Rattus norvegicus: one gene and its partners. The protein of the gene in region 2 interacts with the protein of the main gene of each other region in a pairwise test. Links are inferred from orthologs where the notes say so. Each region holds a gene or a part of one and is shown on either strand. Other genes may lie near its edges. The genes, in order: Zc3h10, Nfya, Pogz and Gtf2a1.

Region 1 (7,460 bases), on a different chromosome or scaffold from region 2:
GCGCCCCCACACCTAGCACTTCTGAAGCCTGGAAAGCACTGGCCCTGAAGATGTGTTGGAGCAGAAAGACAAACTGCCGTCTGTCAGCGGCTTGGTGAGGCAGCACCGCCTGTCCTGCTGTTTGAATAAGGGCATCTGTTAACTACACAACATCACATTTCTCAGTACAGACGCCCTCCTTAGTACCTGCCCCCCTGAATGACCCTAAGAGCCCTGGTTACCAAGGCAACCTGGGAATAGCACATGAAGACAGAGACTAGAGACAGACAGGGCTATTTTTAAACTAGACTAGGTGGCTCCATTTCTTTTATCCCAGAAAGTGCCTTCCCCAAACCAAAGCCCCGTTTGGCCATTTGACATCTTTACCCTGCGTCCCAACTTACCCAGCTACATGGGGGCAGGTCTTCCCCCCACCCCCTTTCTGGCATAAGATCTACTTTCTGCTCCAATCTTCCCCAACAGCCATCAAAGCAATTTTCACTTTTGTTAAAAAATAACGTTCTTTTATTTCTTTGGAAAGTAGTGGGCACTGCCCTACAGATTTCCAGGCCAAGCGAGGTAAGTGAGTGTTCTCCTACTCTGGGTTGGAGTACTATGGTCCCGGCCTCCCCAGGGGCCCAGGAGTATTTTTGGGCCCCAAACCATCTGAAGGCTCACGTGCGGTCTTTGCTCCTGACCACTGACTTTCACTTCTCCATCTTTCCTGGCTCTCTCTGGGTGAGGAATCTTTCTCTCCCATATCAGTGCTGGAATCTGTGCTGTTCACAATGAAAATAAGACCAGGGACACCCCCCCAAATTCCTGTGAGAAAACACAGTCCCTTAGCCCTTTCTGCTGGCTTCAGTCTCAACGCCTGTGCAAGCCTGTCTGAGTTGAGGCCTGAAGGAGACGACCCTCTCAAGAGTGGGGAGAACACAGCAGCACAACCCTGCCTCAGGAGACGCTCCTACCGAGTATATTCCTTGTAGTCTCTTGTCCTAGTTTCTGAGTGGTCCTCTGGACAGAGCCTGGGAGGGCTGGGCTCTGCGGGTGGGGAAGGGCCCCTGACCGCAGCCCTCAGGTGCTATGACAGGGAGGGAGTGTCCGTTTGGCCTGTCAGTGTGGCATGGCTGTGATGCGCATGCTCTGGGAGGCAATGGGGTACGTCACCATAGGAGTAGTAGTGTGGCTCATTGTGATCCCTGCTAAGGGCTGAGCCATGGACACAGCCACAGGAGCCACAGGGGCCACAGACACAGCTACAGGGGCCATGGACACAGGCGGGGGTGCCATCCCCTGGGCAATGGTTTGAGCCAGAGCGGCGGACAGTGGTGTGATCTCTGGGTTCAGGTGTGGAGGTGGGGGTGGTGGAGCAGCAGGAGGTGCAGCATTAGTTGGGGGAGCAGCTGGTGCTCCAGCAGGAGCCACAAGTTCTTGCTGGGACACAGGCCGAGGCTGTAGAGCCTGGCTGCTCAGAGTAGTGTGAGTCTGGGCAATGCCGTGGTTAAAAGTGGCCACAGTGCCCACGGTGGGGGCCAGGGTCTGCTCAGTCGCGGGTGCAGTGGAGCTCAGGGTCATGACCTTGGCCTGATTTCGGAATTGGGCGTTCTGCTCCAGAAGTACCTCATTGGTGGCCAGCAGGTTGCTGACCTGCTTCTTCAGTTCTTCCACACGTTTCCTGAGCAGAGCATTCTCCTCCTCGAGCAGTCTGCACTCCACTCCACGGAGCGGAGCCAAGTTACATTCATAGGACTCAAAATGGGGGCCATCAGGAGGGCAGCAGCCACCTCTCCGGCGCTTAGGGCCCGGTTCATGGTCCTCAAAGCCCCTTTCCGGAAGGTCATAGATGTCATAGAGATCATGCCGTCGTCCTGGGGGAGCAGAGCCTGTCGAGCCTCCACCTCCAGTGCCTCCTCCACCTCGAGCCTCAAACTCAAAATCTCTTTGCAGGTGACGAAACTTGCACTTGGTTCCTCTCTGACAGTCACCTTTGAGGAAGTCACGGCAGATAGGGACCTCCTCCTTACCATTGGGTAGGTCAGCAGGTGAGAGACCCAGCCCAGCTGCCACTTTCTGCCTCAGCCGAGGAGGCAGCTCTCCTGTTTTCTTATAGCCATCCTCATCCTCCTTGGAGCCATGGATGAAGCGGCAGTTGGGACGGCTACACTCCTTGTTTTGGAAGTCATGGCAGAAGATAAATTCGTTTTTGCTTACCCCCAAATTGGATACCTCACTCATGTCTGGGTGGCGGTATCGACAACGCTTGCCTCGCTTGCAGACATTCCTCAGGAAGTCTCTACAGATGGCATCTGAGGTGGCCCCCCCACTGCCTGTCCCTGCTCCACTGGCCTCCTCACTGCTACCACCTCCAGGGCCTGCACCGCTGCTCCCAGTGCCGTTGGCATAGCTGTCCCGGTCAGGCATCCTGGTTCCCCCCAGCTCAGGGTCTTGTTTCTTCTCTCGCCACTCTTGGTGACTGTTAAAAAAGAGAGAGAGAACGGTGTCAAACAGGTCCTCCAGAAGCCCCCAGTCCTCTGGGGCAGTGGCTCTGGAGATGGAGAGCCCAAGGAGAAGCCCAGCCGGCCCAGCTGCCTTGCCAGAGCCCCGCCTAGGCCCTTGTGCACCTGGTCTCATTTGGAGTGATTCACACTTGCCTGGCTAACAGAAGAGGGAGAGAGCTGGGCTGAAGCCACTTCTCTTACTAACATGAGCCGGGGAGGGGGAGGGGGGCAGTGTGAGGTTTTACCTTCTCTCTTCTAAGTCGTGGGAGAGAAACTAAAGCAGGTGTTGGTGTGTGAACACTGGGCTATTTTGCTCTGAGAACTCGTGGATGAAGGGACACCAGAAACAGAACTTCCCTTAATCCCTCTTCAATGTGAACTCAGCAAGTCTCCATGAATTGTAGAAACCCTTGGTAAAAAGACTGGTGTCACTAGTTACAGGGTCATCCTTAAACCTGTTCATCTCCCAGTCTGTTCCACACACAAACACCCTCATTTCGGGGAAGAAGCTCTGACCTGAACTTTCTACTTCTAGATCCTAGGACAAACTGTGGGATGCTCAAGGTGGGAAGGGGTTAATTTCACAGGAACGGTGACCTTTCTTTCCCCATTCTCCACCCCACTGCACTCCGACTAATATCAAACCATAGCACTCCTTACCCCATACAAATCCTCTTTATTTATAGACTCTATAAAAGCTTTTTAAGTCTCCTGTTTCTCAAGAGAGGTCTGGAATGTAGATCCACTGCCCTAATTCTAGCCCTCCCTTCTCTCTACCCCTAAGTAAGACTGGGAGTCCCTGCTAACACGTGTCTAATCTTCTAAATGTTCCCTAAATACTCAGGCTCCCCCTACAGGTCAAATAGGAGAGGTTCATAGTTTCCGTTTGGGAATAAAGGTACCTTTCTTGATTTCTTTGACCTATCCCATTCACACCCGTTTCCTTGACTTTGCCTTTAGATTTCCCTAAAATAACTAACAAGATTAGAAGCCAGAGATACACAAGAATATGCAAGATGGGAAGAGCAGACCCAGAGTAAAAGAAACAAGTGGTTAAAAACAAGCCCTTACTGAAAGAAAAATGACGACCGGGTGAAGACTAAATACCTCCAGAGCCTCACCTATATTTCAAGTCCCACCAGAAGCAGGTAACTGGATATGATAATCTTCCTCACCCCATTATCCCAGAATTAATACCTGAGGTAGCTCAGGTGAAGTCCGGGGCTCCCGTGAGTCTCCACCTCCACATCACTGCTGGGTTCTGAACAAGAAAGAAACAAAAAACCTGGAGATTTGAGTAGAACAAGGAAAACAACGTGAAAGGGCTACGAGGTGGTTTTCATACACTGAAATGAATTCTAATAAAAAGTGGCTTTTAGGCTCCCTTAAGAGTTCAAAGTGCCAGTCACCTATCATAGGGAGAAGTCCCTAATAAAGATAGGGCTAGGACCGACCAATAAAGATTGGGAAGCTGAACTGAAAAACAAAATAGTTTCTGGTGGCAGAAGGGTTCGGGGAGCTTTACCTCAAGATGAGAAGGATATGGGGTTCAGAAGGTTGGATTTCGGAACGCCAAACCTGAAAGCTGGACAAGGGCAACAACTGACTACTGTCAGTGGGAAGGCGATCTAAGACTTGGGGGCGGTGATTACGACGGTCCCCAACACCCTAGAGTTCACGAAAAGTCCTACGAGTTCCCCTGGAAGTCTTCTGGCTTGGCCGGCTCCGTGATGCGGCGCCAGCACTGAGCCGGGGACCAGGTGACTAGGACACTAAGGAAGCGAAGTGAAAGGGGAGGGGGGCTAAGGGTGACATCAAGCTGAGGGGATGGGCAGGGCTGTGACGTCACGGAGCTGGCGTTTGCTCGGGAAGCGAGGTCAATCAGAAAAAGGGCTCTGTTCTGGGTAACCAGGAAAAGCCAAGCCAGGTCGGTTCGGGGGGGGGGGGTTGTTGGAGGAGGCTCGTGGGGCCCGGCAGAGCCCAGCCGATGGGCCATCCCCGACTCCTCCCCTCCGGGCGCGGCCTCCACCTAAGTCTCCCGCCTCCCTCACCTGCCGCCGCCGCCGTAGTTGCTGCTGCCGCCTGCCGGTCCTCTAGCTTCGACAAAGAGCCGCCCACCCTACGGCTCTTCCGCTTCCTGCGGAAGAAAGGGACGCTCTAGCCACCAGACCCGGAAACACACTCTATGGTCCCATTGCGTGCTCTTAACCGCAGGAAGCTCCCAGCAAGCCTTGCGCGTCACCATGGTAACACGACTCCTCCGCACCCGGAACTCGCACAGCGTCAACTTCTACGCAGGGGCCCCCCAAAACATAGAAGTGGCACTGCGAATGCACGAACTCTAACTTAAACTCAGGCGCACACTAAATCAACTGGCTCCAGCCAGATCGCAAACACCCGGGCTCTTGTTGCCTACACTGGACTACACAACTCCCCACCCAAAGGAGCCGCAAAAAACACGTAACAGCGATTTGATTCTTCAGCTGACAGCAAGAGGGTTTATTGTACACGAGTTACACTTGGCCACAAGAGAACAGAACTAGTCCAGAATGCCAAAGGTCCAGGGCAGAGGGCCAGCGGGACTGTTTTGGTTGTGAGGAAGGTAGTCATTTTCCCAGCTGATCTCGGCGAGGTGACATTCCGGGTCTACTGAGACTTATTACCGACAGCAGCATACAGTCCAACCACTTGTTCCGGGCTTCAGCATCCCTTACTTCTGCTCCCGCAGGCTTCGTGGGTGCACAAGATGGTTTACTTGGACCTCTGCCTCATCTTTCTTCTCTTGCGCTTCAGCCTGGAAAGGCAGGCACACAAACCGAGTTAATTTTTTCCCCTTCCCACATTTACCATCTGCACTTCGTACAAAATACGATGAAATTAAACAACACCAGCTCCGATGAACCGTGCTTAAACGTCCCTCCACGCCAAACATTTTCACATTAAGTTTCTTCTAAACATCCCACCCCAAGCTTTGCCCCTTTGCCCCAATGTTAAGTCAAAAAATTAACGTACCTGCGCATTCTCTTCTTCCGCCACTAAAAGCCCGATCATGTGAGAAGACAAAAAAGAATGTTAGCAGTAGGCCCGGGTAAGAACATTACTCAGAAAACAGGTTTGACAAAGAATCAAGAGTTGGTGCGGCACTGGCTCAATTTTAGATCCGAATCTTGTTTTCCCACCTTCCTCCAGCTACGACTTAAGCCTGTACTCGGCTCTGTGAAAACCCGAAGCAAACCGTTTGCAAACCCGATGAAGAACCATGGCGGAGATTCACTGCCTGATTTTCCGCCTCACAATTCCTTCCTACCGCCCAAGCTCACCACTTATGAACCGCTCACCTTCGCTCTCATGGCGCAGGAGTCTCTAGAAAGAAAGGGAAGAAATTGCCGTTAGTCTGCTGTGATGAGAGTAAATGTGGAGGTCGGATGTTAATGGATTGTACTCGAAGTCGAAACAACAGCTAACACGGTAACTCACCAAGGAAGATGGCGCTAAGACCGAGAGAGCGGGGAGTCCGGCCTACTGCTATTTAATGGCGTGCTTGGTGTCGTCACTTCCGAGCCGCCCCTTCTGTTTCCCTTAGGGAGGGGCTGCTCGAGACAGTAAGTGACTTCCGGTTGCCTTACTAGAGGAAAATGTTTTGAGTGCGCGTTACCAAGCCCCACCTTTCCTTCTATATTAAGGATATTGTATTATTTCAGCGCGAGCACCTGTTTCCAGTATGGGACTGAGAAAAAGTAGGCGGAAAAAAAATAACCTCCGTCTTCTCGTTGCTTCATGGGAATTGTAGTTTTTTGGTAAATATCTCTACTTACTACTGATAGGTGTGGCTTGTAGTAAAAATTACTAGTTTTGCCCTGACTTGGTGGTGCACGCCTTTATTACCATCTGCTGGGAGGTAGACGCAAAGGCAGGCGGAGCTCTGTGAATCCGATCTACATAATGAGACCCTGCCTAAAGTAAATAAACAAAAATATTACTTTTGGTCTTTTTTTTTTTTTTTTCCGGAGCTGGGGACCGAACCCAGGGCCTTGAGCTTGCTAGGCAAGTGCTCTACCACTGAGCTAAATCCCCAACCCCACAAAAATATTACTAATTATCTTCTATTTGATCCCTCTGCCATCCCCCAGTTAAACTGTGTGTCAACATCAGAATTTTTTTAAAAGACTTTGGGGCCTCACGTTTGCTAGGCAAGCGCTCTACCGCTGAGCTAAATCCCCAACCCTTATTTTTTTTTTTTTTTTTTTTAAGATGGTTGTGAGCCACCATGTGGTTGCTGGGATTTGAATTCAGGACCTCTGGAAAAACAGTCAGTTCTCTTACCCGTTGAGCCATCTCTCCAGCCCCATATCAGAATTTCTAAAAGAGTTAAGATTTTAAAGCCAGGGGGTTGGGGATTTAGCTCAGTGATAGAGCGCTTGCCTACCAAGCGCAAGGCCCTGGGTTCGGTCCCCAGCTCCGAAAAATAGAAAAGAAAAAAAAAAAAGATTTTAGAGCCAGGAGGTGGTGGTGCACGCTTTTTCCCTGAGGCAGAGGCAGGAGGATTTCTGAGTTCAAGGCCACCGTGGTCTACATCCTGAGTTAGTGAGTTCTAGGACAGCCAGGGCTACACAGAGAAATCCTGTTTCGAAAAAAACCCAAAAATTTGCAAACTGGAGGCTGTAAGATTGGCAAGCAGAGAAAGCATACTGTAGTATGCTTTTTGTAAAAAGACATAATCATAATTGTGTCTGTATGTTGGTATGGAGGTAAGGGCATGCAGATACCAGCTGAAGCCAGAAGAGGACATTGGATCCCTTGAGACTCTTTCTCAAGCTGTTATGACCTGCCCGACTTGGGTTCTGGGAATGACTATACCTGTCACTTACTGCCCCTTTGTTTTGAGAGGGTCTCAGGGGTTTAGTTAAGAAGCCAAGTCCTCTTTTATAGTAGTGTTTTAGTCAGGGTTCTCAACCTCAGCAGAATTTATAGATTTATAGA
Region 2 (7,322 bases):
ATTTAGATTATGCATATAAGAGAACATATTTGGTATTTGTTTTTCTGAAGACAAATGTACCTTCTTTCCCTTACTATAAAGCTCCAGTTCATCCATTTCCCTACAAACAATAACATATAATACATTGAGTGTTATGTTCACTCACTGGCACCTACCTACAGATTCCCTAACTCGGTGGTGAAGGTGCAGCACCGAAGTGCAGTCCTTTGGTACACTCTTCTCAAGACAGTATAGCAGGATCATATATATAGTGGTGAGTTTTGGGGGGTGGGAGGATATCTACAACATGATGGCTTTTCTTGGGTCAACTTGATACATCTGGTATTAGCTAAAACCCAAGCAGCTGGGCACCCCTGTGAGAACTGTTTCCAAGTTAAGTCATTTGATGTGGGAAGGCCTACCTTTTATCTGGCTATGCCTGGTGGCAGCCCATATAAAGGACCTGGATTTGCCCTTTGCTGCTTGCCCTTGTTGGCAACGTCATTCCTTCCCTGACTGTATAACCTAGTACTTCTAGATTCTGGCATATACTGAAGACAGCTAAAATTGAAATATCCAACCTCATGAACTGAACAACTAGATTCTTGGCCTTTTTGTTGGTAGAACACCATTGCTGGACTAGTTAGATTACTTGTAAGCCACCTTAATAACACACACAGTCTCTCTCTCTTACACACACACACACACACACACACACACACACACACACACACACACACACACACACAGTCAGTCAGTCAGTCAGTCTCTTGTTTTATTCCTGGAGAACCTGACTTAATACACCAATTTCCATATACTCTAGTGCGGCAGAACTAACTTATATTCCAACCCATGAGGTTTACGAGCTATTCCCATCCTCACCAGTACTCTTTATTTCCTTGATGACAGCTATTCTGACTGGTGTAAGAAGGAATTACAGTATAAGTTGATCTGCATTTTCCTGATGGCTCAGTATGTTATTTTTAAATACATCTACAGGTCACTTGTCTTCTTCTGAAACTGTCTAATCTATTTACTTGTTTATTGCTTAGATTATTTTGTTTGTAATTTCTGAGCTCTTTCTGTATTCTGAATATTAATCCCGTCAGCTGAAAAGCTGGCTAAATTTGCAGAATTTTACACCAGCCTTTCTTGAGCCGGTTGACTGAGCTGGTTGTGGAGACTCCAGGTCCGATACGGAGAGTCAGCCAAACTAAGTGGCTGCACTAGGGAAACCAATGTTTCCCTTATTGGGGTGAGGAGGCTCAAGGGTGTTGACAGGTAGCTGCATGGTGGTCGCATGGTCCAGGCTGCCCTCAAACTCAGAGATCCACCTGACTCTGCCTTCTGACTACTAGGATTAAAAAGCTTGCACTACCATAGTCTACCCAATGTTTCCAAGTCTACCTTGTGTTTAACAATGTATCTGTCTCCAGACTAATAAATTAAGGCTACAATATAAACAAGCATGGCCCCATGATAAGAAACTGACAGCAGTAGCCTAGACAGAAAACAAATCGGATTTCCTGAAGCCTGAGGGAGGGAGGGAAGGAGACTGACTGAACAAGCCAGCCATTATGGGGATGACCAACGTTTTCATCCTTTTTCTCAAGTGGGGACTGTACAGGTGTGGAGAGCTTTAAAAACTCACCCAAATATAGACATATACAATGATTACATTTTGATGTTTAAAAAAAAAAAAAAAACACACTCACCCTCTGTATTTCAACACTTCCACTAGCCCTAAGACTCTTTCCTATAAAGCTTTCTTCTTGGCTAAATTTCCTAAATCTGCATCATATCAGATTAAATGCAGAATGGAGCTTGAAGTGGACAAGAGGACTGGAATGGCTGTAAGGAACACTTGGATCTAATTCATTTACCTCGCTGATACAAATGCTCCATTCTCAGGCCACTGAGACCCACTGTGCTTCAGAGGGTAAAAACAGAGGCAGCTTCAAATTCAGCAGTCATTCTGTATTGACAAGGGAGTGACAGAGCTTGGAGCGCAAGCCTCAGACTGCTCATAGTGCCTGCTTCTTGGCTCCAGTGCAGCTACATGCTCCTTCCTTGTCACCTCAGCCAGCAGAACTGTGGCACAACCTGACACACTTCTTTCCTCAAGCATTTCTTTGCCCAAGTTTATGACAGAATCAAGAGCTGGATTTAGTCTGTCTAGCTCTTCCACAAACTTGTGAATGTGGTTTTGAAAGTGAGAACATGAATGAATATGAATGAAAATGGATTTATTCTGGCCTCTGAGACATTCTCTTTCCATAGCATTTTCTGACCATTCACATGGCACAGAAGCAGTTGGCCAGCACTTAGAAAGGTAGGTAACCTATCTGAAGATAGCAAAATCGGAAATGCCCAGAAATGCGACTAAAATAAGCCCATCTGACCTGACAATCATACACCAGAGGACAAACCAAGAAAAACATTAGGAAAGGGTGTCATGTGAATTAGATTTAAATGTGAGATCTTACCCAGATGATACTAGTCTACGGTGAAGTATTTCAAATAAAGGGAAAACATTTGGGCTCTGTCTCGAGAAATTGAGAATCTACTTTTTCTTGAAATGCAGATGCAGAGGAAACCAGGGGAGGCTCCACAGGCCTGAGTCACCGTGACCAGATAATGGCCCTTTGTCCACAAAAACATTTGGCAGTTTTGAAGTGGCCAGATGCATCCATTTTTAAAATTCCAACCAAAGTTAAAAAACCCAGTCCAAAGACAAGACAAATAGACCTATAAAGACTGTACTGATGTAGTTCGTTTATCACAAATGGAAGAAGTAATGTGTGCTGGCTTTTTTTTTTTTTGGTCAACTTGACATAAGCTAGGGTCTTCCAGAATGAGGAAGAAGAATCAACTGAGAAAATGCCCCCTTAAGAATGGACAACAGGCAAGCCTATAGGGGCATTTTCTTTAATGTGGGAAGGCCCAAACCAAGAAAGGCTGTCAAAACCACGAAGAACAAGCCAGCACACAGCACCTTTCTATGGCTTCTGGTGGAGTTCTGGTCTTTCCTTCCCTTCATGATGGAAAATGAAATAATAATGAAATGCTTTTGGTGTGGTGTTTACAGCAACTAAAAAAGGCAAACGAACATAAGGGAATTTAGTAAACAATTTAAGGGTAAATGTGATTGCAAGCTGTTTTGGTTTAGAAGGGGGAACATTGGATTTGCTTTCTCAAACCCTATCAGTTAAAAACTCATACACAGAAAATCGGTTCCCAGCTTCACCTGAGTAAAAGATAATTTCCCTCTTCCAGGCAAAAAAATTCCTTTTTTTCCTTAAAAAAAAAAAAAAATCCAGCCATTATTATGGGGTAGAATCTTCAGGTCAGCAACCTTTCCCCGAAAGGTTAGGGAAGAAATCCACTCTAGGCCACTTTTAACCTCCAGTCCAAACTGTTTTCAAAAAATTTCTTTGTAACATCTGCAAAGGTTTTTACAAATGGGTCTTTCCCGCCTAAACTCAGTACTCCTGGGCCTTTCTGCGTCCGACAGCACTATCTGTTCCAGTTATTCTTTTCAGTCTTTCCTCTCCGAGGACATTATCCTCCAACACCCAATCAAAAGTGTGGCGATGAAAATAGGCTTCCTCATGCAAACAGCACTTCTCGATACTAGATTAGATCCCTATGAAACACTAGCACCAGTCAATCTCCACTGAGCAGGTATGGCTCCTACCCGTCTCCTCCTTGCAGCACTTGGGTGATGCCCGCCAAAGACTATGGCTAGCAGCCCTTGGAAGACTTCCTGTCGCCCGAGTGGGTGTGTGGTGTGGTGTAATCTAAGCATGTGCAAGTTTTAAATCATCAATTGAGAAAACGTTCACGCGGGATTCCAAAGTGTTTTAGAAAAAAGACACGGTGGGCTGAGTTATTGAGCGGAGACTGACACAAAAAAGATTAAAGGAAAACAAAACCAGAGAGCATCCAAGGGAGAAAGTTCAAGGGAGGAGGTATGGATAAATAGGAACTGAGAGATGAGTGCCCCCAATCATTAAGAATGCACAAGGTTATCAGGCAAGGTTTCAAACACCGACACACCGAAGAGGAAGAGCACTTGGTTGGGATCCAGCACGGAGGTGTGCCGGCACCGCGGGCAGAGCGGGGAGGAAATGACGACCCAGAAAGGGGTGGTAACGGCGCCGGCCTGGAGCCCCGGTGGCGGGCCGAGAGGAGGGGCAGGCGCGCCAACGGCCCCGGGGTGGGTCTTGGAGGCCGCGCCGCGCGTCTCCGCCTGACCTCGCTCGGGATCTGTAGTCCCAACTGTGGAGAGCTCAGGGTACGTGGACCTCGCCGGGGCCCGGAACGCGGGGACACAAGAACAGGCCGTAGGATGTGGCTGGAACGACTTGGGGAAACCGCCACGACCCGTGGTTGGGCGGTCGGCCACCTGACCTCCCGGGACCCGAGGATCCGGGACGAGCGGCGCATCCGCCACCGGCACCCGGAGAGTATCCAGATCCCAAAAAGCCTGGCTCCAGGGCGCCATCCCAACGTTAGACGGCCCCCGTAGGCCTCCACAAACTCCAAGCCGGGGCTGCTGGCTACCCAACTCCGGCAGCCTCGGCTCGACTCCCGGGCTCGACGGACGCCTGGGCCTCTCCTGAGTGGTCAGCGAGACCCGCCAATCGGGGCGCTGGGGCCGGCTCTGGGCCGCTGGATATTGGCTCCTCATACTCACCGTGCCTCGCTCCCCCGGTTCGCTGCCCGCGCTGATTGGCTCCAGTACCGGACCCCGAAACCCAATCAGAGGCTCCAGCCGCCGCCGCCGCCGCCACTGCCGCTGCCTCGCAAAATGGCGAATCTGAACAAAGGGGAATCGGGCCTCCCTCCAACCGCCTTCGCGCAAGCGCCTTCGAGACCACGCCCCATAACCCCGGCCAATCTGGCCCCGCCCCTGGGAGGAGCACTGCGCAGGCGTTCCAGAGGCCCCACCCACTTCCTGGATTTGACACCGCCTTCCGACAGAGGACTACGCAGGCGCCTTCCACAAGCTCCGTACTAGTCTTCTTAAACACCGCCCTGAGTTATATACTACGCAGGCGCTAACACGCCTCCACCTTTTTTTTTTTTAAACTGTCCACCTATATCTAAGCGTCCACTGGGACCCACCCCCTAGGGCCAAATGCGCAAGCGCTCTTCTTCTCTAGTAGGGGTCGGTATTTCGGTACGCATGCCTGAGCGGCAGCGGGAACCTACGGAATTTACCGCCGGAAATTCTGAAGCCTTTACTACAGAGAGCGGGCACGGCTACCTAGCTAGAGAGGCTCACTTCCGCCCCGTTAAGGGATGGGGGCGGCCATCTTAGAGTGCGTACAATCAAAGGCTTTGGCGGGATTTGTTCTGTGTCGGGGCGCTTCTGTTGCTTCCCATCTTCGAGGGTTTCATCTCGAACCCTTCCCTGCGTGGAGGAGGGCCTGCTGACGGCCGATTCCTTTGCAGGTGAAGAATGACCCCAGCACCCACTTTTCTACGGATCCCAGGACTTCCCTCCTTAGAGTAGGAGAGAATGAGAAGTCATTTCACACTTTCCTTCCTGCACCTCCAAGACAGTTGGTGATCGTCCCCTGAGAAGCTGTTCTCTCCACCTGAGTTCGATTCACTCTGATTGCCGCTCAATGCGCTTGTGGTCAAGTCTTTCCCATTCTAAGCCATATTCTCTGGGGAAATACTGGACTGTCCTAAACCTACCCTGCTAGGAGAAGGCTTGAAAGTAAGGAGGTGTGTCTTGGGACCGCCTTTTCTTCCGCTCCTGGAAAGCTGTTTTGTGTTGCCTCTTAGAGATTGAGTGAACTCAAATTCAGAGATAATACGCTAAGGAGGTGGGGAAAACTAAATGGGTTGTCAGGGTGATCTGAACACGCGATGTTCAGGCTGCCTGCGCCGTTTTTACTTGCTTTTCCTTTTCATTAGCAGAAGAAACTCTTAAATTCTGGAAATAGCGACTCAGTATCATGGCCAGCCGCATTAATGAAGATCCAGAAGGAAGTCGAGTGCGTAACAGCTATTAAATTTATCGGTGAAGTGAAATTCAGAGTAATTGAGGTCAAAAGCATAAACACTTTTTAATTAAACCAATAATTGGATTCTCGCCCCTCCCTGTTTGTTTCTCTCAAGCTGATTTACTGGGGAAAGGCTAATACAATCCTAGGCAGATAACAATCATCCCTCACTTCCCTTTTACAGATACTTTAAAATTTAGTGCTTAATTCTTTAAGATGGGAAGGGATGTTTTTAATTCAGAGTGTCAGAGAAGCAGGTTTGGGGCAGTAGGGGTGGGGCTCTGTTGAAGATCTGAAAGGAGAAACAGTTTTCTGGTTTTAACCTTTTTCTTTTCCTTTGCACATTTTAGATCACTTATGTGAAAGGAGATCTTTTCGCATGCCCCAAAACAGACTCTCTAGCCCATTGTATCAGTGAGGATTGTCGAATGGGTGCTGGAATAGCTGTTCTCTTCAAGAAGAGATTTGGAGGGGTGCAGGAACTGTTAAGTCAACGTGAGTTCTGAGAGCATCGTATCCTGTTTCATGCTGGCTGAAGCCTGGTGTGGTCTTCCATTAGACTCCGTGTACATGTACAAAGAGATTTCTGGTGACTGCTTTTAACTGTTAAGGGGTTATTGTTGCTGTTGTGCAGCTACTGCTGCTAGAGTTTTTTGTTTGTTTTTTTTTTTTAACTTCCTCAAGATTGGCATCTGATGTGATTTTTACCACACTAATCAGAGTTGTCAAAGTTTCCGGTCTCTTCCCCCTTTTTGTGTCTGAGTTTGCAGTATGCAGATACATGCATGTAAGGAGGCCTGGGGTTGGCACCATCTGTCTTTGTTTGCTCTCCACCTTTTTCTTTTGAATCTCTTAATAACATAGAGTTTGTCCATTTAGCCCCATTGGGTTAGTGCCGGGCATCCTGGATGTGTTTTTCCAGTTTGGGCTCTACAGTGTGTACCTGACACCTAGGTTTTATGTGGGTGCTAGGAATCACCCCAAGATTCTCATGTTTGTGCAGTATGCACTTTACTGATTAACTCATTGCCCCAAAGTTGTCCTTCCAAAGTATTTCACTTCTCTCAAACTTTGGTTAACTGAAGGCCTTATCAAGTTCCATGTGCTTTGGCGGTCAGGGTCCTGTCCTAAATATTACTCTGTTCTTCCTTAGAAGTAGAGTCTCATTGTGGAGCCTAGGCTGGCCTGGCACTTGGCGTGAAACATAAGTTTGTCTTGAACTCTTAGCAGTCCTGCTGGCTCAGGCTCCTGAAAATGCACATTACAGGCATGAGCCACGACAGCAGGCCTTCTCAACTTAATTCTTCACAGTGTGATTTGGGC
Region 3 (6,847 bases), on a different chromosome or scaffold from region 2:
TCTGCCTCACAAGTGCTGGCATTAAAAGTACAGGCCACCACAACAGGCACGACAATAAAAACTCAACATTTTGTGTATTATACGCATGCCACAGCAGTGTGTGGACCCACTCCGTCACGCATGTTCTAGAGAGAACTCAAGTGGTCAGTGTGGTGGCAGCACTTTACCTGCTAAGCCACCACACCTGCTTTGCCTCGTCTGATGCATGCAAGCTTTACATTTCAAATGTAGCAATTTTTATTCTTGCCTGTGTTTTGGCATCCAAGAAACTGTTGTTAAATCTAATACTGTAAAGCTTCTTTCCTAGGCTCTCTTCCTAGGAATTCTGGGTTTGGTCAGTTGTCATGGCAGGACCTCACACGTGTACAGTAATCTTCATGCATGGCCTCCTGACTGCTAGATTACGATATACGCCATTATACTGTCCATTTATGTTTAGGAGAGGTTCTCAGCACTGCCTCCTAGACCCTTGCTCATACTGAGAACACAGCAATCCTTTTCTGGTCTCACAAGTAGCTAGGTCTATTTACAAGCATGTGTAACTGTGTCGACTTTTTTCTTTTCCTGTTTGTACATGGTATATACATACATATGTGTATTATGCATGTGTGGATATCTTACCTGTGGAGGACAGAGGTTAATAACTTCAGATCCCTTCCCCTTGCACGCTCCCAATTATTTCTGAGACAGGGTCTTTAACTAAACCTGATCGTCACTGCACTGTTTCGGCAACACTGACAGGCTTTATCACTCCCTTGGTGCTGAAGTCACAAGCATATGCCCCATGCTGGCTTTTATGTGGCACTGGGGATCTAGGTCAGGTGCTCATGCTTAGACGGCAAGCACTTTATTGACTAAGCTACCTCTCCTCATCCCCATTCTGAGTTGGCTGGGTTTTGTTTGTTTAGGATTCTTGAGACAGATTCTCACTGTGTAACCCAAGCTGCCTCACACTCACAAGCCCTTTCTTTTTCTCAGGCATCTGATGCGGAAATTACAGACATGCACCACCACATGCCAATTTCATGTGCAGCTCTCTTCTGAGTGTCACGGCTTCTGTGTTTGCCTGGGTTTTGATTTACCTAGGGTTTTTATTTTGCTGTTAAGACAGGTCTTCTGTATGTTGCCCTGGCAGGCCTACAACTCAAAGATACTTTGTCTCTCCATCCCAAGCACTGGGATTAAAGGCATTCACCACTATATCTGGCTTTCAATTAATTTTTACATTGCACAGAAAGTAAGAATTTCAAATTTTTGTGACTATCTAGTTTTTTCAATGTATTTAAAAAAATTCAACATTTTTTAATAGTTGAAATGAAACCAAAAGAAAAATGAGGCACATGAAAAGTATATAAAATTCTAAGTTCAGAGCCCATAAACACCTTTGGTGGAACAGAGTCCAGCTTTCAGCACCTTCCTACTGTCGGCAGCTGGTGTCTACAACACTTGGAGTGGAGAACGTGCTGGGCACAAAGCCTAGAACATTCACAGAAAGTCACCAGCTCCTGCTCTGGACCACTAAAAATCCTCAGATTCATATTCTCTATCTTCCTGAAACCCCTTTAGCACATCTCCACTTTAAACACTCTCCCCTCAGAGGTCCAAGAGATGGCTCAGTGCTTAAGAGCACCGGCTGCTTTTCCAGGGGTCCTGAGTTCAATCCAGCACCCATGTGGCAGCTCACAGCTGTCTGTAACTACAGTCCTAGGACATCCAATGTAATCTTCTAATGTGCAGATGGACATGAAGACAACACACCCACAAGCATAAAATACATCTTTAAAAGTACGAGTTACCCCAGAAAGTCCACTGTTCCTTCCACAGACTTCTTTCATCAACACATCCATGCCACTACCTGATCCCCAACGCTGCTGGTGCAGCTACATTTTCAATCTTTTACCACATTACCATTTCTGTAAAAACAAAGCACCTGCATCCTATTTATCCATTTCACAATAGTTTCAATGCAAGAAATGCTTTAGCAATGTTTTCTGCGTGACTGAATGGTGTTTCAGTCTCTCACATTACCTTTCATTGAAGATTCGGGTCCACTGGTTCTTTGAGCAGAACTGTTGTTGGACACCACCACTGGCCCAGGACTCTGGCCCAGGGAAGGGATAGTGTTAAGAGTATTCACCAACTTGGCCACTTCGTTGCTATTTTCACCTGTAACCCCAGGTCGCTTCACAGTGACAAAGCTGGCAATGCTCACTGCAGGTGGAGAGGGGAAGGAGGGAGCTACATTGACCAAGTGAAAATCATCTGTTTCCCACCCACTGCCCCATGCTGTTCTGCCGTCTCCTCGTCCACATCTCACCTAGTTTGGGATTCGAGGTCTGGTTGGGCTGGCCTGGAGGCTGACCAGCTAGCTGCCCCAATGCGGTTGGCTGTGTGGCAATGGGAGTAGTGGAGGTACTGGGGGTGGACTTGGTCTGCTGGGACTGGGACTGTGGGACAGTGCTTCGGATGGTGAGAGTAGCTGGGATGACGGTGGTAAAGGTGTTGGTGGTGGGCCTCACAGGCATTGTGGAGCCTGGCCTCACGGGGGTCATCTGAGAGAACACTTGTGGGACGCCAACTGTCGGCTTAACAAACTGTGTACCTGGGGCTTTTAAAAAAAGAGACAAAAAAAGTCCCAAACCTTCATCAGTGAGCTCACCTATAAAATATTTTCTTGCCTTTCCTAGAAATACAAGAACAGGAAAAAGTTACTCCCTAAACTGACTGAGTGACCACCAGAGATCACTAAGAGTAGCATCGATCTGAACATCTAAGAAAGCTGTAGCTGTCCGTCAAACAAAAGGAATTATCCAACGTTTCGTAAAGCAGCAGTCAGAAGAAATTCCCACCAACTCTTTTCAGATGCCCTGCACACACTCTTTTTTACAGTAGCTTGGCCTCCATATTAGAAGTGGGAAAAGATTGGGTATATGCAGGCCAAAGGGCAGACTTGGTCCTTAAAGTCTTTTTTCAGAATTCTAAAAGAATTTTCCATTTTCTTCTGTATACTCAAATAGGACAGGCAGTCTACTCTACCTCAATGTCCCAAAGGTTGACCTTTTTCTAGAACTACTGTAGACAATCCCAGGGAAAAACATTTAGAGAACCTCAGAATGTTAGAGACATCTCATCAGATTTATGCCTTAAATGCCCTGATGGCTCTCAAACAACAACAAAGGAAACAAAAGAACAACAACAACAACAAAAAAAAAAAACAAACAAAATGCTTTGGAAAGCCAACCACAGAAGCCCCTTATTGTCCTTGTATTTATCTGAGTGTGTGTATGTGTATATGTGTGAGGGGTGGGGGGTGGGGGTGGCATGCATACCACAGTGTGCAAGTGGAGTCAGAGCAAACCAAGTGGGAACTGGTTCTTTCCATCATGTGGCCTCTAGGGAGTGAACACAGGTCCATTTAGCCCTGAGACACCTACTGGTCCTAAGGACTGTTTACACAAATAAAGTTACTCTCTTTTTGAGCCAAACTGTAGAAAACCTAATAGGTAAGCATTGTGATTTGGGGGGAAATTACAAGAATCTTCTTTTGGTACTGAAAAATTGACCCCAAGGCCTCAAGCAATGCTAAAAATGCTATAACTCCAGCCCCAAGATTCTTTTTTTTTTCTTGGTTCTTTTTTTCGGAGCTGGGGACAGAACCCAGGGCCTTGCGCTTCCTAGGCAAGCGCTCTACCACTGAGCTAAATCCCCAACCCCCCAAGATTCTTTAATATTCCATTATATGGTCAATGGTAGTATTATCTTCAAAACATCTATCATTTACTTAATTTATATCTAAAATTCCCCCAACCTCTGCCTTAGCTTGTTTATTTCTTGAGACAAGACTTGGCCTTAAATTCACAGTAATCCTCCTGCTTCAACCTCCTGAATGTTGGATTCCAGGAGTGTGTCACCATACCTAGTGGCATATAGAAAACCTATGCTTTACAGTTAAAGAAAAATTCAATTTATAATCCTATCCCATAAGTGAGTAAATGTATGGGGAGCATTAGATTTGTGGGTTTGCATTAACAATATTCTTTCAGGATAACAAACAAGAGCTGACCTCATCAGCAGATACTGTTTGACTAAATAAGACTTATTTTACCTCATGAATGGTGGTGAAAAGTTAAATGTAAAACTAAAATTACCACTTGACTAAAGTTCAGACTTTTTAAAATTGGACTTAAATTGTTAACATGGTATTTTAAAATTCTGTTTAAATACATACTTCCAAATGACCGAGACTATTTTGAAACAATAAGAGTAAGTATCTGGATGCCAGGTTGTAAACATGTCCTTACCTGGGACCAGTGTAATTGGTCTGACTGTTTGGCCTTGCTGTACATTCAGCACGATCCCAACCTGGTTCATGGCATTCTGTACAGGGCGAACATTCCTTACAGGGAATCCCTGTATCAAAAAGAAAAATGACCTTTAATACAGACCAACTAGCCAGACACTGACTACAATATGACTGACAGCTCCACAGTCTTACCTAGCAGCTCTCTCTAGAATCACAGCTTTCAAATGACTGAAATGGAGAATTTTAGGAAATTATGGCATGCTAGGTTTTTATGGGGTGTTTTTTGTCCTTTGTTTTTGCCTTGAGACGGGTCTTGCTATGTAGCTTAGGCTGCCCCCAAACTCCTAATTCTGTTGGCAAATATCTTTGGGGTATTTTTGTTCTGTTTTTTTGAGACAGGGCTTTATATAGCCCAGGTTGGCCTTAAACTTGCTATGGAGCCCAGGCAAGCCTTGAATTTATGACAATTTTCTGCTTCATTCTAAAAGCTGGGGTTATAAGCATGTAACACCACACCCAGAGTGCTTAGCAAACTAAAGAAGCAAAAGCAACAAAACTATGCATCCATACACTGTGCTTTGAAGGGAAGAAAAATCACTAATAGTATTTAATCTAGTATTCCGACAGATAAATCACCTTTTTTTAAAAATATGTTGCTCTCAAGCCCACTTCAAAGGCCACAAACCTCTGGTAACTACAAAGGCAGAAAGAAGCATGTGCCTCTTAAATTCCACCCAGATTTGGGCTTTCAACTGACAACCGGTATACTGTATGGCAGAGCCTTCCTTCAAAGACCACTTATTTTATACATGTATTTAAAAGTCAATGAATTCACCCTAGGGGATAGAAGCAGCCCAGGCAAAAGTTATCCCTTGCAAGGCAAATGTGAAGGCTTCAGGTTTTTTTCCCCTTAAGATGTGTATGACTGTGCACGTATGTATGTGCACCACAGGGATGCCTGGTGTCTGTGGAGGTCAGAAGGCATCAAGCCTTCTGAAAGTGAAGTTACAGACACAGCTACGAGCTGACATGTAGGTGCTGGGAATTGAACCTGGGTTCTCTGCTAGAACAACAAATGTTCTTGATGGTTAAGCCGTCTCTCCAGCCCTGAGTGAAGCCTTTCTAATTCTAACTTTCCTGATGATTTCTGCTCAGACTTTCAACTCAACAGACCTCTCAGGTGCATGGACAGGCAATATCATGTAGCCATAATGCTATGCTGAGCATTCCACAAGGCAGAATTCCATGAAACAGTACGGAGAACCTCAGTTCAACAGACAGAACTCTAACAATGATAAAGATCGTGTCCAAGGCAGAGCCTCTGCAGGCTCACCGTCTATCTCCCCAAACAGACCTAGAAGTCGAAGCCCCACTCACCTGGGTAGTGATGAAGATAGGTTGTGAGGCCACAGGGGAGCTAGTCACATGATTGGCATTCTGCATGACCTGGACAGGTCTCAATACTGGTTGAGTAACCATTGTTCCCAGACCCGGTGTTGGATTTTGGGTCAAGATGAGTGGTTGTCCACCTTGCTGGACCAAAGTATTACCAGCTAAAAAGCAAAAGGCAGGCAAAACAAAGGGAAACAGAACATGAAAGGGATGTTAGAAACAATGCTAAACTTGTATTCATAAAAACATTATTATCTCAGTTAAGAATTAGTGTCTCAAATATCAAAATTACTTAACTGCTACTACTCACTTCAGGCTTAATGTCACTAAACTCACAATTTAAGCTTCACTCAACTCTACAACTAACAGAATACAAGCTCACTAACCCACCCGTGCCTGGCCCAAGGCTGAGAGGCACCAGTTCCTATCTTCAGACTAATGAGTTAAGTCATCACACACTTCTCCCCAGTCAGCAGAGCCAAAAAAGGTAAGACTTTCCAAATTTAAAGTAAAATCTTTTTGTAAGAAAGTAATTTGTTGTTGGCTAACCCCCTTTTAAACTTTCCTTTTTTACATTTGCTTAGTGTGTGTGTGTGTGTGTGTGTGTGTGTGTGTGTGTGTGAGAGAGAGAGAGAGAGAGAGAGAGAGAGAGAGAGAGAGAAGCAGCTCTCAGGTACTCAAGCTTAGTGGCAGCAGGTGCCCTTTACTCACTCCCTGAACCATCTCACCAGCCCTAAACCACTTTGTTGTTGTTTGAGAAAGGTTCACATTTAGTTTGATCCAAAATAACACGAGACATTCTTCTACAGGAAATAGCAACTGTGGTGGTTTGGGTGAGAATGGCTCCTGTAAGCTGTTATGTTTGAGTGCTTGGGCTGCAGTTAATGGAGCAGCTGGAGAAAGAATGGGATATGTGGCCTTATTGGAGGAGATGTTTTCTGAGACAGCCTTGTTATAGCCCAGGCTGGCTCCAAACCCAGCCAATACTCTCAACCCACCTTCCTGAGTACAGGCTGTATATGCACATTTATATCCAGTGCTCACTGTAGCTCTGTACAAATGAAACTTCAATGTATCTTTTTTATAATCTACTGTAAATATGCTAATCAAATAATGGTTATCAAAAGTGTTACAAAAGGCTGGAAACGTAGC
Region 4 (6,847 bases), on a different chromosome or scaffold from region 2:
TTAGAAAGGCTGGGAACCGCTGCACTGACAGCTATTAACAAATAACTACAGAAAACTAAATCAACTGCAATACCAGGCCATAAAGAGCACTGGCTGCTCTTCCACACGACCAAGGCTAGGTTCCCAGCATGCATGGTAGCTCACAACTGCCCTGTAACTCCAGCTCCAGGGCATCTGAGCAACCTCCATTCGCCTTTGCAGGCAGGCACTAGGCACAAACATGGTGCACAGACATACACACATGCAAGCAAAGCACTCATATCATACACTTAAAAGTGGAGGGAAGAAAAAAACCAAAAAACCAAAACCTTATAAACTAAGGGGGCCTACAAAACTCAATGATCAATTCCCAAATAGTTTGGTTTAAAACTTCCTTGAACAGCAAAATCCGTAAAATTTTAAGAAAGCTCATAAAACTCATCAATAAGGTCTTTTCAGACTCAAGAGAGCTGAAGTTTAGGAAAGAAAAAATTATTACCTTAGTTCTGTCCCTGGAAGGCAGGGGGGCTGTTACAAGGTGGATGAATATGAAAATGATCATCTCTCACCATCTTACCATTACTTTCTTCAAGGCAATGTTAAGGAGTCAAGTTCTACTCATTCTACTCAAACAACCGTGAAGCAGTCACAATGCGTCCCTTCACACTGGCTATAACAAGTCAGGAAGCCAGACGTGGTAGGCAGCATGTGCCTATAAGCCCAGATTGAAGCAGGAGTACAGTTGAATACAAAGTCATCCTAGACTAGCTAGCTCGCTACACATGGGAGTTCCTGGCCATCCTGAGTTGTTAAATAAAACCTGGTCTCAGGAGTAAAAGAAAAACAGAAATACAGGCAGTCATCTTCTGCCTAAATGTTTCAGTGAGGCTGAAAAGATGGTTTAGAGAGACTACAATAAAAACAACGTTCACGACCGAATGTGAAGTCCTTACCTTATCATACTGGCATACAACAACATTTTCTGTGTCAAAGAGTTCCTGCCCTTCCTCATCACTTACATCATCTTCGCTGTTGAGGGGCTCCTGCAAACAAAAGGAGACACAGATCTCATGCACCGCTTGCTATAAAGTTTCCTGTAACTCTTACTGAGAGCTCCTGTAGCTGGGATGTTCTGAGGACGTCAGGTGTGTATCTGGACACACTGAATGCAGAGCTGTCAACGCTTAAGGTCTGCTCATGTTACTTCAGCAAGAAATTAAGGAAAGTTAAGCTAGGGAACTCACAAGACTCAAAAGGTTAACATTTATTTCCTTTGGAACTCATTAAAAAGCATTGTCTGCTCCCATAGAAGACCTGGGTTCAACGCCCAGCACTCACAATGGCAGCTCACAACCATTTCTAACTCCAATCTCAGATGCCCTCTTCAGACCTCCCTGGGTACCAGGCACTCATACAGTAAACAAACACACATGTAGGCAAAATCGATCATGCACATCATTTTTAAATTGTTCTTTACTCGTTAATAAGTACTCAAGACAAATTTCCCTGTTTCATAAGCCTAGGAATAAACCTGAGAAGATATGACGGCCTCATGAGGTCATAGTATTATGTACCAGCAACAGTTTAAAAGGAAAAAAAATGGCATTGAAGAAGAAAACAAAGTGTGGCCTCAGGGCTGTACTAAAAACTAAGATTCTAAAAGCCAATCAGTACTGTTTATCAACATGATGACATGGTGGAAAAAAATCATTAAGATTTAAATTACTCTTAAACGTAGAGGATGAACCGCCTCAGAGGCAAAAGTAAAACCAAAGAAGGGTTTGATAAAATAAGGTTAAACTTCATTTGTGGTGTAAGACAGAAGCTTTAACTCAGATTTAAATGACGAGGGGAAAGACAAGACAAAACAGAGGTAGAAAGGAAAATAATTGAGGATATTAAAGCCTTGGTGTATGCCACTCATACATAGGGGTGTGTGACAAATATACTCTTTGAACAGAAATGTCTATGTTAGGGAAAAAAACGATAAAACCATTTAGAACATACACTTCCTGTCTCCACAGCTCCAGAGCACTCCACTAACCTTTACATAAGCAATCACTCTCTATTCCCTCTTGTGTCCTGGCAACCACCAATCCGCGTTATGACTTCATAAATGTGCCTGTTCTGTATACATAAATAAAGCAATACAATTTGTGGGTGTCTGTGCTGTGCTTGGGTGTTCGTGTATGCTCATGTAGCAGCACGCACAGCACTTCATGCTTCCTTACAGTCCGGTCAAATGCTGTCCTGTTGTCTGGATAGGCCACTTTTTCTTTGCCATTCACTAGTTATTGACAGACATTCAGGATGTCTGTATTGTTTGGAAAGTGACAAGAGTATTGCTGTAAGCACTCATGTACATGGTTTTGTCTGAACTCCTGTTTTCAATTCTTTCCTATGTTCATTTGCAAGTGAAACTTAGCAGCACATGGCTAACTCTGCTTAATTCTGTGTTCAAAGCCCTGTTTTCTGTGAAAGCTGTTTTGGTTCTTATTCACACTGGAAATACACAAGGGTTCCGATTTTTCCTAATCCTCATCATCATCAATAAACTTTCTTTTTAAAAAGAAATACAGCAGTGTGGGTTGGAGAAATGGCTGAGCAATTAAGAGTACTAGCTGCTTTTCCAGAGAGCCTGGGTTCAATTCCAGCACCCACATGGCAGCTCACAACGATTTCTAACTTTAATCCCAGGGATCTGACACCCTGTCTTCTGCCTCTATAGGCAATGAATACACATGATACATGGAAATACATGCAGACAAAACCACCAGACACATAATTTTTTTTAATGATAGTTTTCCTAGTAGGTATGACGACCTCCCAATTGTGGTTTAGATTTCCATTTCCCTAATGACTAAAAATGCTTAAGAAAAGAAAACCACATCTGTTATTATAGTTCCTGAGGCTCAAAAGTATAAGCATAGCATAATATAGAAAATTTCCCTATTCAGTCTCACATAGGTTAAAATTTATGGCATCACAAGATACCATATTGTCACCTAAACCTTTGAGTCTTTTCCAAGCTCATTCAGGTGGGCTGGCAGAACTGAATTGCTTACAGTTGTAAGACTGAAACTTTCATAGATGCTCTTGAGCTGAGGGATAGGTCGTTCAATGGTAAATACAACAACAAGAAGCAAATACCCAGATGCTATCCATGGTTGTCACAAGCCTTTAACCCCATCACCCGGGAGGCAGAGACAGGAAGATCTACATACCCAGTTCTAGGACAGCCAGTGCTATATAGTAAGAACCTGCCTCAAGGGGCTGGGGATTTAGCTCAGTGGTAGAGCGCTTACCTAGGAAGCACAAGGCCCTGGGTTCGGTCCCCAGCTCCGGAAAAAAAAAAGAACCAAAAAAAAAAAAAAAAAAAAAAAAAAAGAACCTGCCTCAAAAAAACAAACAACAAAAACAAAAAGCAAAACACATCCCACCCCGCCCCAATTTAGCCAGGCACAGACAGTGGGACACACCTTTGATTCTAGAACATAGGAGGCACTGAGCTCCAGGCCAGCCAGGGCTACTTAATGAGACCCTGTCTTTAAAACAATTAAAAAAAAAAAAAATTTAGCTCAGTGGTAGAGCACTTGCCTAGGAAGCGCAAGGCCCTGGGTTCGGTCCCCAGCTCCGAAAAAAAGAACCCAAAAAAAAAAAAAAAAAAAAAAAAAAAATCACAGAAGAGATTATGTCATGTTTCTAAAAAAATTACAAATTCTTTCATAAGGATACTATCAACATGAGAACTGGTGAGAAGATTGAGAGAAAAGAAATTACAAACGCATTCATAAACACTGATCTAAAACTTCTGTCCATGTGGGTCCGGCAGTTAGAGAGGATAATACATAATGACCAAGCTGTGCCATAATGAAAACTCAATACTGGTTTACAAAGTAGGACCACTCAATAAAATTCATAAATAGCAGGCTATAAATGTGATACTGTGACTAAGAGTTGCAGAAAGGCATTTAATAATAAAATACATTTCCTAGTAATTAAAAAAAAAAGCAAAGTACTTGGTTAATTACAAAAGCAATCAACTCACTTAGCCCCAAAAGACATGTACAAGGAAATGAAAAAAACCACGATGACAACAACAATAACAAACAATAGACCATTATAAAAAAAACTTCTATATAAAAAACAAAAGCGTCAACAAACACATTATTATAAACACATCAGGCTGGCTCAACGATGAGTTTTAAAAATTCTATACATGTCTATTACACAAGCAATCTGAAGAAATACCATGTAAATGTCACTTAAGGAAGGACTAAAACTGTGGGAAACGGTTGGAAATAATGCTACCTGCCATTTCAACATAGTAAAAAATAAATAACAGTAAACACACGGAAGCAACTGAAGCTTCTAAGTACTCACAGAAGTTCAAACTAAAACCAAACCGAGAGACTGGTTTTCAGACTGGAAAATTTTTAACAGTCTGCTCTATCATGAAGTGATAACACACTGATGTTTACGAATTACAGACAAAATGGCAAGATAGACTCATACAGTTAGGTTGGCAAGTTCATGTCCATAAAGAGAAATGCAGGAGCTCCAGAACACAAGCCACCAAAATAATCAATAGATCCAAAAACGGATAATCGAATTATAGTACAATCAACAGTGCAAGCACCCACCTCTCTCTCCCTCTGAAAAAATAGTGTATAATTTGTCTGCTTAGCACCAAATACAATAGTGAATGGTGAGCGCCTTTTCTTTTCAAGGCTTTTGTAGAAACTTACTTCTTCCACCTGCCCATCTTCGGCTCCATCTTTCTCTTTATCTTCCTCTTCATCATCATCATAGTCTTCTTCTTCGTCTTCATCTTCCTCAGAAGATGTGTCCCCTGTTCCGTCAACTTGCAGCACCAATGGAGCCTGCTGCTGAGCAGGCTGGGCCTGTGGCTGCTGCTGTCCAGCTGCAGGGATCTGTGCTTGTGCTGGTGTGGGCGCTGCCACTGTCGTAGGAATGACCTGAGTCTTATTCCCTGTAAATAAGATTTGCTGTGGCTGGATGATGACACCGGTCTGTGGTGAAATCCCTCCAGGAAGTGGGGCTAGGACCTAGGGCAAACAAAACCACCTATTACAAACTGGTTACAGGGATCCAAAATCAAAATCAAACTAATAATAATTTAAACATGAGAAATGTGCTTGAAGGCATATCATCTTAACTCAGAATAAGGTTGTTCTTGACTGCTGTACACCTATTAACCTGTCCAGGAAAAGAGCGGGGAAGCACACAAAGTCATACAGCAGAGGCAGAAGCCAAAGAAAATGAATATCAAGGGGATGGTAGGTAAAACTGCATTACCTGCTGGATAACAGGCGCTTGTACTCCACCAGGCTGCATTTGTGGTATAACTTGTTGTTGTAGAACAACTGACTGCTGAGGCTGAAAGATATATTGGGCACCATTGGCTGCTCTGACTACCTGAAGCAGCTGGCCTATGGCAAAAAAGAATATAGTCCAAGTTACTAGTTAAGCAGCAATTAAAACACAAAGAAATTTATATTGCTTTCAAGCCAAAGAACCTACCAAGTTAGAAGAGTAAGCATTTTACAGAGGACTATCAACTATACGCCTTACACTCTATTACTGTTCCCAGTTTTCTTCTATATCCAAATTGCTCAGCGGTTACACTGGCTGCTAGTCCAGAGGTCTAGGGTTTCACTCCCACCACTCAAATGGGAAGTCACAGTATTTCTAACTCCAGTCCTAGGGAATCCAATGGTCTCTTTTGGTATTCCAAGGAACTGCAAGCATGTGGTGCACACACATACAAGCAGGCAAAATACCCATATATACAGAATTTAAAACTGGAAAAAATATATTTACATATATATATATATAAATAAATAATACTTTCTGATAGCCTTAATTACTTTTCGTCATATGGTAGCAGTCAAGGAAATGCAGTAAATAGGATCAGATATTTCAATGGTTGTTATTAAACTTTAAAGGCACAAAGGTATAATATCTCATTTATATCTTAAACCAAAGCACAAGGTTTGCTTAAAATTTTCAATATGCAATGAAAATTTGCTGTGAGTCAATTAGAATGCCGAAATTATGACCAAATAACATAATATATACAATACTCTCGTGTATGTTCCTTTAGATATAACAGAATCCTTAAGAGTGAGCAAAAACATGCAGCAAGACAAAGCCCTAACTGGTTCCTCAAATTTAGAAATTAACAAAAATAAAATGACAGGTATTAGCTATTCAGGCCTGTGAAATGTTCAACTTGGTCATCACAATATCTCACTTAAGTCATTTGGCAAGACAGATGCTTAGTAAAATCCCAGTACATAACCATTTCTACATAATCATGCCTCTTCAGCAGGGTTCCATCCAAGAACAAAAGCTCTATCCCCTTTTCTTCTTAAAGCAGTGTCTCTGCTAGTCTCACACTTTCTATAAAAGTAGACTGAGATTGAACTTCTGACCCCCTGCCTCCAACTCCAAACTGCTGGGATTATATGCTACCAAACCCGGCTATAACTTCCATTTTCTCAACTGTAGCCTCAAGAAAGATTACAGCTCTCTATTTTATAACACTTAAATCATTTAAACAATCTAAACAAAAGCTCAAACAAGTGTCAGTATTGTCCTCCTTCTTCAGTGACAATAACCATTAGAGTTCCTTGATGCTAACTTCTGAACAACATTTAAAGCTGCCCCCCGTTTCTAGTTACCTGAATTTGTTAGTATCTGCTGAACAGGAGTCACGCCTGCAGGGAGCGCCAAGGTAGCAGCTGTAGCAGCAGCACTCTGGAATAATAAAAAACAAAGGAAGAAAGTCATATTTGCATGTGCACGCAACAAAATCTTAGTTTCCTGGCAGTGCCAGCACAGC

Evidence for each region.
Region 1: the proteins of Nfya (region 2) and Zc3h10 interact in binary tests that used the Homo sapiens proteins (3 or more experiments, as listed by UniProt). The two-hybrid records come from large-scale screens. The link is inferred for Rattus norvegicus from reciprocal best matches to the Homo sapiens genes NFYA and ZC3H10.
Region 3: the proteins of Nfya (region 2) and Pogz interact in binary tests that used the Homo sapiens proteins (3 or more experiments, as listed by UniProt). The two-hybrid records come from large-scale screens. The link is inferred for Rattus norvegicus from reciprocal best matches to the Homo sapiens genes NFYA and POGZ.
Region 4: the proteins of Nfya (region 2) and Gtf2a1 interact in binary tests that used the Homo sapiens proteins (3 or more experiments, as listed by UniProt). The two-hybrid records come from large-scale screens. The link is inferred for Rattus norvegicus from reciprocal best matches to the Homo sapiens genes NFYA and GTF2A1.

Annotation. Positions count from the first base shown.
Region 1 is NC_086025.1:1,557,467-1,564,926, forward strand, and holds Zc3h10 (zinc finger CCCH domain-containing protein 10), read right to left. Parts: upstream 4,576-7,460; 5' UTR 4,532-4,575; intron 4,147-4,531; exon of another isoform or gene 4,006-4,146; intron 3,766-4,005; exon of another isoform or gene 3,742-3,765; 5' UTR 3,678-3,741; exon of another isoform or gene 3,602-3,677; intron 3,442-3,601; exon of another isoform or gene 2,726-3,441; intron 2,456-2,725; 5' UTR 2,404-2,455; coding exon 1,096-2,403; 3' UTR 482-1,095; downstream 1-481. Other genes in the region: Rpl41 (small ribosomal subunit protein eS32), read right to left, coding at 5,232-5,274, 5,493-5,515, 5,819-5,830. UniProt on the Homo sapiens protein: Specific regulator of miRNA biogenesis. Binds, via the C3H1-type zinc finger domains, to the binding motif 5'-GCAGCGC-3' on microRNA pri-MIR143 and negatively regulates the processing to mature microRNA.
Region 2 is NC_086027.1:20,082,562-20,089,883, reverse strand, and holds the start of Nfya (nuclear transcription factor Y subunit alpha), read right to left. Parts: upstream 4,804-7,322; 5' UTR 4,679-4,803; intron 1-4,678. Other genes in the region: ADP-ribose glycohydrolase OARD1, read left to right, coding at 5,952-5,990, 6,350-6,494. UniProt on the Homo sapiens protein: Component of the sequence-specific heterotrimeric transcription factor (NF-Y) which specifically recognizes a 5'-CCAAT-3' box motif found in the promoters of its target genes.
Region 3 is NC_086020.1:185,107,082-185,113,928, reverse strand, and holds part of Pogz (pogo transposable element with ZNF domain), read right to left. Parts: intron 5,857-6,847; coding exon 5,681-5,856; intron 4,411-5,680; coding exon 4,302-4,410; intron 2,609-4,301; coding exon 2,318-2,608; intron 2,239-2,317; coding exon 2,029-2,238; intron 1-2,028. UniProt on the Homo sapiens protein: Plays a role in mitotic cell cycle progression and is involved in kinetochore assembly and mitotic sister chromatid cohesion.
Region 4 is NC_086024.1:116,226,438-116,233,284, forward strand, and holds part of Gtf2a1 (transcription initiation factor IIA subunit 1), read right to left. Parts: intron 6,763-6,847; coding exon 6,687-6,762; intron 5,433-6,686; coding exon 5,299-5,432; intron 5,049-5,298; coding exon 4,728-5,048; intron 1,023-4,727; coding exon 933-1,022; intron 1-932. UniProt on the Homo sapiens protein: TFIIA is a component of the transcription machinery of RNA polymerase II and plays an important role in transcriptional activation. TFIIA in a complex with TBP mediates transcriptional activity.